Linked DNA regions of Macaca fascicularis. The protein of the gene in region 2 purifies or fractionates together with the protein of the main gene of each other region. This does not show direct contact. Links are inferred from orthologs where the notes say so. Each region holds a gene or a part of one and is shown on either strand. Other genes may lie near its edges.

Region 1 (3,516 bases), on a different chromosome or scaffold from region 2:
GAACAACACTTAGCTTCCTTGGAAGGAAAGAAAATCAAAGATTCTACAGCTGCAAGCAGGTACATCATTCTTTGTAGGACAAAGATCAAGAGTGATTTTTCTGAGGGAGTAGATGAAATCAGCTCAAGTTCCAAGCTATTTAATTTCTTTTTATCTTGATTTGATTTTCTATAAAATGGGTTTAATCATAATATCAACCTCATAGAATTAGTATCAGGATTAAATGGATTAATACATGCAAATTCTTGAAATAGTTTCTGACCTTCAATAAATGTCAGCATCTGTTAAGATAATGACAGTGACTGCATAGTTTAGAATTGTGTTTATGATGTCAAAAGTTCTCCTGAAGATGATAGTGCATTGTTTTGTATGATGCTTTATAGTTATAAGATACTTTTTTTTTCTCTTCCCCCCGCCGAGACAAAATCGCACTCTGTTGCCCAGGCTGGAGTGCAGTGGTACAATCTTAGCTCACTTGTAACTTCCACCTCCCGGGTTCAAGCGATTCTTCCACCTCAGCCTCTCAAGTAGCTGGGACTACAGATGCATGCCACCGCACCTGGCTAATTTTTGTATTTTTAGTAGAGACAGGGTTTCACCGTGTTGACCAGGCTGGTCTTGAACCCCTGAAATCAAGTGATCGGCACACCTCAGCCTCCCAAAGTGCTGGGATTACAGGCATGAACCACCGTGCCGGGCCTGTAATTACAAGATACTTTTGTATTAATTTGCTCAATCCTAACAATAGCACTGTGAAGCATGTAGTAGCAGTGCTGGGACTCAAACCTAGAATATCTGACATCAAATTGCATCATCTCTGTCTAATGCCAGTTCATGGGGTTGATTATTGATATTTTATATTTTAATCACTTTATTATGTTTTAAGCTAATTCCTCAGACTAAGACCAGTTAACCTCGCAAATTGAAAGTAACACATCATTTCATATCAATCTGGTAACATGATTTTTGCATTGGGTTAAGAAATTACTTGAGTTACTCTCATGTTTTCATATGAAGCTTTTTTAAAAACAACATGAAGAAAGAATTTGTATGGTGAGAACTTTCCTTTGGTTCTTTTTAGACTTTCTGATTGTTTCAGAACTTTAGTCTTTCTTTTAGTAATAAAATTTAAATTATTTTCAACGGAAAATGCCATTATTAGATTTTAGTACTTATTTTTAATCCTAGATTTGTACTTTGAATTTTCTAGTAGGATTTTCGAAGTAGCAGTCAAAACAATAAGTCTCATTTATTTGAGAGAATAATGAAGAAAAAAGCCATGTAGTTCAGGTGTACCAGTTTACCTGAAATGTTTATCATAAAATGTATTGGTTTTCTTGCATTTCTGTCAACTATGTCACTCTTCCTTTGTCTTCTGAGTTGTACCTTTTTATTGGCTTATTTATAATACTATTTTATGTAAAATTTAAAAGAGTTTTTACCACTTTACATGCTTAGAGTAGAAATTAATGATGATTAGTGTGTGGTAAAAGGAAAATAAAGCTCAAGGTAGTTCTTCAGGTTAGAATTCTTTACCACTTGTTTTACTTAGCCTAGAGTTAACATTTGGAAAGTTAATGTTGAGGTTTATAATGTGGATACTTTTTTGATAAAAGGGAAAGGAGATGGCTTGTCAGTAAAAGATGATACATTGTATGTGTATATTAAAAAGGAAATTCTAGTTTGGCAAAAGGGCAGCACATAGAAAGATGCCAGATGACCTGGTGACTAGATTGAAACTAGTCTTCTTTTGAAGGAACCTGAAGTCCTCTGGGGATGTTGTTATAGGTGAAACATACCTAGACCTCCGTTACGTATTACTGGTATGCATGTTTTGGTGTTCTGTGGCACTGCCAAAACGTAGGCTGTAAATTAGCAGAGGGTTTTCACTGTGATAAGGTCAACACTTTTTCCCATCAGGGATTTTGTGGGAGTATGTGGGCTCTTTCCCAATTGCATTGGTTTCCCCTCTTGGAGCTTGGAAGAGGCAATGTGCCCCACTCTCTTGTGAACCCTTTCCAAAGTCAAACATTTACTCTAAAAGCAGTGAGTGTATATGTAAGTCAAGATTTTTCTAATTGCTCTAATCCCGTAGATCACTGGGTGGAATATTTCATCTGAAGTACTGGATTTGAATCCAGAAGTTAAGTTTATAATTATAGTGCCTATCCATGGCAAGGTTGCCAGACCATTTCCTGACCTGGGTGTAATGTGAAGTGTTTAGCAAAAAGCCAAATTATCTCTGTTCAATTATCCTAGGGCAACTACACTTTCCAATGCAGTGTCTTCCCTGGCAAGCACTGGTCTATCTCTGACCAAAGTGGATGAAAGGGAAAAGCAGGCAGCATTAGAGGAAGAACAGGCACGTTTGAAAGCTTTAAAGGTAAGTTTGTGCATTCTCCATATTTGGAAAAATGAGTACAGGTGTTCATTAGGTAAATGGGGCCTCTGCACAGAGTCTTAAATGTATAGTGTTAATGGGCTGAAACTCAGTCTGACTTTTCATCGTGACATAGAATTAGGTAAAACAGAATATCTGCTATCAGAACAAATTAGAAAATGCTTTTTTCAGAGGTTGTACAAACAAATCTAGTTTCTGGAATCCTTATGGTAGTTCCCTTTCTTAACAGGAACAGCGCCTAAAGGAACTTGCAAAGAAACCTCATACCTCCTTAACAACTGCAGCCTCTCCTGTATCCACCTCAGCAGGAGGGATAATGACTGCACCAGCCATTGACATATTTTCTACCCCTAGTTCTTCTAACAGGTAGGAGTAGAAGTTAAGGTTACCTTTGAATACGTAGGTTCAAACACTTCTAATAGAAATTTTGCAGGAATTTTCAGGTTTACTTTTATTTATACTTTTATAATCTATTCACACAAAGAGGTGGCGATAAATGGTGATATTGGTATAATACCTAAAGATAAAGTGGTGAGAGTTTATATTTTACTTATTTAGGAAATGAAATATAGTTAAATCACTGATTTATGCTAATAGGAATATAGCTGTTATCTCTGGGCAAACTTTTTATTGTGTAAAAATTATGATTAAACACATTTATGAGACATCTAATGCTTCAAGACCCTTTATAGCTCTTTGACATATGGGTATGATGTATATTTTAAAATACCATTTCATTGGATATTAAACATCTGTCATATCTGTTTCCTGGTTTTAAACTCTGTAATCTGGAACATAATGACAGTTTAGTTGCCAGGTTTCTTGGTATTGAAGCCCACCACACTAACTTTAATAATCTTGTTGTCTAATTTAAGCTACTTAACATGGAAATATAATATTGTGGGGTAAAGTAAAATAATTGACATTTTCTAAACCTGTTTTGTCTTTTACCTCAGAGTGGCTTAAAGTAGTTTAAAAGTCAGATTCTGGTTTGAATCCTGGCTCTTTTAGTTCTTAACTTTTTTTGAGAACTTGTTTTCAAGTGAGATTGTGGTTATCAACTTTAACATCAGAAACATTTGGAGAGTTTATTAAACTACAGATATCTGAGTCCC
Region 2 (4,275 bases):
TTTTTTCCACCAAAGGGACTAAAGTCATAAGGAAGAAAAGCATACACTGGTTTTCTGGACACTCCCCTGGGATTATAAACACACACCATGCAACAATCACAGGCACCAGCTCCCAGCAGGCACATGATCGTCTCCCTTGCCACTCCTGAGTGCTAACCCCAGAGATATTTGCAAACAGGGTGTGTCCTGTCAAAAAACCTCACAGGAAAGCAATTATCTTCCTCCTGACCCAGGAGCCCAGGGGAGGAAAGCGAGGCTGGCAGGCTAGTGAAGATTTAAATTCTATGCCAGGCTAGTGCTCCCGCACAGCACACAGTGCTGTGGTCAATGCAAGACAAGCAGCGTATTACAAAGGAAGCCAGGTCCCTGGAATGCATGTGCTATTTTCTGTCCTGAAAGAGACATGGAAGTAGCAACCTCAGCTCTCCAGGTCCTTTTCCACCATGGGGCCTGGCTGGCGGCTCACTTGATTATTTCTGGGAACGATCTAATTAAATATTAACCACGTACAAAACCTCATTCTTACATTCCTCAATAAGTCACTGTGAAGACGAGCAAACCCAGACAATGAACTCAAACTCCATCTTTCCAGAAAATGGGGCCCTGGAATAGGTGAGTCCTGTGACATTCACCCATTACAAAGTTATTCATTGTAAGTGGCCCTCTTAGCCTCTGAGAAAAACCCGGAGCAAAACAAAACAAAACAATCCACCTTCAGCAAGGCGCCTGTAATCCCAACACTTTGGGAGGCCGAGGTGAGGCGGGTGCATCGCCTGAGGTCAGGAGCTCGAGACCAGCCTGGCCAACATGGTGAAACACAGTCTTTACTAAAAACACAAAAAAATGTGGTGGTGCATGCTTGTAGTCCCAGCCACTTGGGAGGCTGAGGCAGGGGAATCGCTTGAACCTGGGAGGCGGAGGTTGCAGTGAGCTGAGATCCTGCCACTGCACTCCAGCATGGGCAACAGAGACTGTCTCCAAAAAAAAAAAAAAAATCCACCTTCTTGTGTATCAAACCAACCACTAAAATGTGTGGTTGTATCAGAGATTATCTCTTTGACACTCAGGAAGGTTGCTCTTGATTTCTTATCATTTAAGAGTAAGATCAATGAAGTTGGTCCTTCACATCCCATCTCCCCCATGTAGCAATCAGACCTCTTTATACCTCCTCAAGGGCACGAGAAAAAACTCAGTGAATAAACAAAGTTTCTGACAACATCCAGATCTGTCTGCCAATTAAGGTTTTCTCCCTGTGATCTACAAGTTCCTGGCACAATTAATTATATATTGGTGACTTTAAATTAAAAGCCATACCTTTTATTTTTTTTAATGACGGGCTATCCTGGCTGAACCAGATGATGGTGATGATGATCACAAGGATAAATTGATAATTTGCAGCCAGGTGGGTTCCAGCACCTGGCATTTCTAAAGCCTTGATATCCTCAGGATTTATTATCGCTTTCTGGGTCAATCCCAAGCACAAAGGTTAGAAGGTGTCCCTGAGTTCTCTCTCATTTCAAAACGAAAGCTGTTGCAGAGTGCATGTGCTAACTAGATGTGAAGGCAACCGCAGAAGTCATCGCTCTCTGCAAGGACAAGTGGGACGGAACTTGCAAATAGCCGCCACAAACGCAAATGTCACCAACCTGCTTTAGACAGAGGTGGGAGGGATCCTCTGGCTTCCTTTATCTCTAGAGTAAAGTTTTTCAGCCATTTCAGTCTTGGTTGACTTATTTTGGCAAATAAACAATTTGCCCCCCTCTACCGCCCATCCCCCAAGCCTGAGAGCACTTCAAGAGTTTGTAAAATAAAAAGCAACAGGAAACCAGAAACGCAGCAATGTCTCCATCGTGGGTCTCCGGCACAAACACAAGTACAAAACGCACACCCGCGCCCTTATTTAATTTTAAAGCCTTCCCAGGATAGGCATCATCTGGAAGAGATACAGGCGTGGGAGGCGCAGGAAGGGAGCCCCAGGAAGTTTCTGTCTGTCGGGCGCCGGTATTTAATGAGGGGGTGTGCACCTATTTATACGTGGGCAGCGCTCGGGCAAACAAGTCTGGCGACAACGAGCAGCTTTTCACCCAGCAAATAATTGGAGACTGGGCAGCTCTGGGAAGCCGCTCACGAGAGAAGAAAGCTGGGAGTTTAAGGAATTTCCTTTAAGGAAACTGCCCGTGGGGACATCGGTTTCAGGGGGTCGGAGACGGGGGCGGGAGCCGGCAAGGAGCGGTACTGAGGGCGGGGGCCCCAGTCGGGCCGCGCCGGCCCCGGGAGCACCTGGATCCCCAGACCCCTAGACCCCCGGCGCGCTGGGCTCGCGCACACCCAACCCCGGCCCCATCTCCGTCCCCCGCCGCCTCAGCTCCAGCGCTCCCGGCCCGCGCACACCCTGACCCCGGCCCCCTCAGCCCCGGCGCCTCTGGGCCCGAGCGCCCGGCGGGAGTGGGGAGCGCGGCTTCCGGTTCACCTGCGCGCCGGTCGGCTCGGGCCGCGGAGGCCGGCGAGGGGCAGCCGCGGAGCTCTCGGAGCGCCCGGGCGGACACAGGCCCTGCCCCCACGCTGTCCCCCGCCCCTGGCCGGCGCCTCCCGGGCCCCAGCGGTTCGCGCGTGAGGGGACAGGGACGCCGCTTGCCCGCCCGCCCGCCGCCCGCTCGCCTGAGTCTTGTCGAACTGCTCGCGCTCGGCCTCCAGGCTGTGGCCCGGCCTGCGGCTCAGCACCCGCGCCGGCACGTTCTTGATGCTGTTCATCCTGCCGCCGCCGGCCGCTCTTGCCCGGCTCAGTCCGCGCGACTCAGCGCCTCACGGTCCAACAGCCCCAGCCTAGGCACCGCGAGGCCGCCGCGCCGCGCCAGGGCCCGCCCGCCGGGGAGGAGCCCACCTCGCCCCGCCCCCGCGCCCGCAAACTCCTCGCCCGCCCCCAACTCCAGGGCACGCCCCTCCCCCCGCACACCTCCAACCCCGCCCCCCGCGCCCGCATTCGCCCCGCCCGCCCCCAACTCCAGGGCACGCCCCTCCCCCCGCACACCTCCAACCCCGTCCCCCGCGCCCGCATTCGCCCCACCCGCCCCCAACTCCAGGGCACGCCCCTCCCCCCGCACACGTCCAACCCCACCCCCAGCGATCCCCGGACACGCGCCTCCCCCCGCACACCCCCAACCCCCCAACCCGCGGCGACCCCGGCACACGCTCCGCCCCCCACACACCTCCAACCTCCATCTCACAAGGTTGGGGCACAGGCCAAACGCCCCCCCCAGCTCCTCCCCACCTCTAATCCCCTCCCTAAACCCGGAGAGGAGGGGAGAGGGAGGGGAAACCCCTCCCTCCTCCTTCCACACAGGATAGGGACCCCGGCCAATTCCCTCTCCCAACCCCTTCCCCGAACTCACTAAGTCTTGTCTGCACCAAGGCAAGATCTGGTTAATTGGAGAAAATCTGGCCTCCATGAGTCTGGTCGGTGGCAGCACAGATAGACTTTTTTTTCCTTTTTGGTCTTAACGTATGTGTCAAAAGGCACACAGTGACGCTCTCCCCTCTTTGTGCATCTCTGACATAGCTGCAGCTGTTATCCATGCGGGGTTGCAGGATGCATTTCCAGAGACGCAGCCGGCTCCGCAACCGGACACCTCGCCAGCGCCAGGGACAATGGGGGCTGAGGCCGGGCAGTATTAGGCTGGGACAGAAGGCAGGCGGATCTGAAAGCAAAGTACACCAAGGAGATGCCGCCGGGGGTGGCGTGAGGCTTTTAAAAAACATTATTATTGGCTTCCCCTTAAAATTACTGGTCACAAGACTGAAGTAAAAAAATAAATAAAAGCCCAGAGTCCTCTCTAAGCGCAGCTCAGATGGGTGTTTTGTTTCTGCTGTTTCCCTTTCCTATCGGAATGCAGATGTGGAATCGTGCATAAAGGTCCCTTGCTTTTGAAGGGAGAGAGGCACCGCCTGCCTGTAAGGAGGAAAATGACGCCCACGTAATCCTAACCCTTGTCTCCTTAGTGAGACTGTAACCTCAGGACCCTTTTGTTTCCTTTCTTTCCTTTCCTTTCCTCCCTCCCTCCCTCCCTCCCTCCCCTCCTTCCTTCCTTCCTTCCTTCCTTCCTTCCTTCCTTCCTTCCTTCCTTCCTTCCTTCCTTCCTTCCTTCTCCTTCTTTCCTTTCTTTTATTTTCTTCTTTCTTTCTTTCTCTTTCTTTCTTTCTTTTTTTTTTTTTTTGAGACGGGGTCTCGCTCTGTCACCCAGGCTGGAGTGCAGTGGCCAGATCTCAGCTCACTGCAAG

What was found. Proteins that work in one complex are often made in the same cells at the same time.
Region 1: the proteins of HIP1R (region 2) and PICALM fractionate together in Homo sapiens (co-fractionation; 3 studies listed by BioGRID and IntAct, with this or other methods). This does not show direct contact. The link is inferred for Macaca fascicularis from reciprocal best matches to the Homo sapiens genes HIP1R and PICALM.

The regions. Positions count from the first base shown.
Region 1 is NC_088388.1:85,049,540-85,053,055, reverse strand, and holds part of PICALM (phosphatidylinositol-binding clathrin assembly protein), read left to right. Parts: coding exon 1-59; intron 60-2,259; coding exon 2,260-2,383; intron 2,384-2,630; coding exon 2,631-2,767; intron 2,768-3,516. UniProt on the Homo sapiens protein: Cytoplasmic adapter protein that plays a critical role in clathrin-mediated endocytosis which is important in processes such as internalization of cell receptors, synaptic transmission or removal of apoptotic cells.
Region 2 is NC_088385.1:129,950,427-129,954,701, reverse strand, and holds the start of HIP1R (huntingtin-interacting protein 1-related protein), read right to left. Parts: upstream 2,815-4,275; 5' UTR 2,752-2,814; coding exon 2,659-2,751; intron 1-2,658. UniProt on the Homo sapiens protein: Component of clathrin-coated pits and vesicles, that may link the endocytic machinery to the actin cytoskeleton. Binds 3-phosphoinositides (via ENTH domain).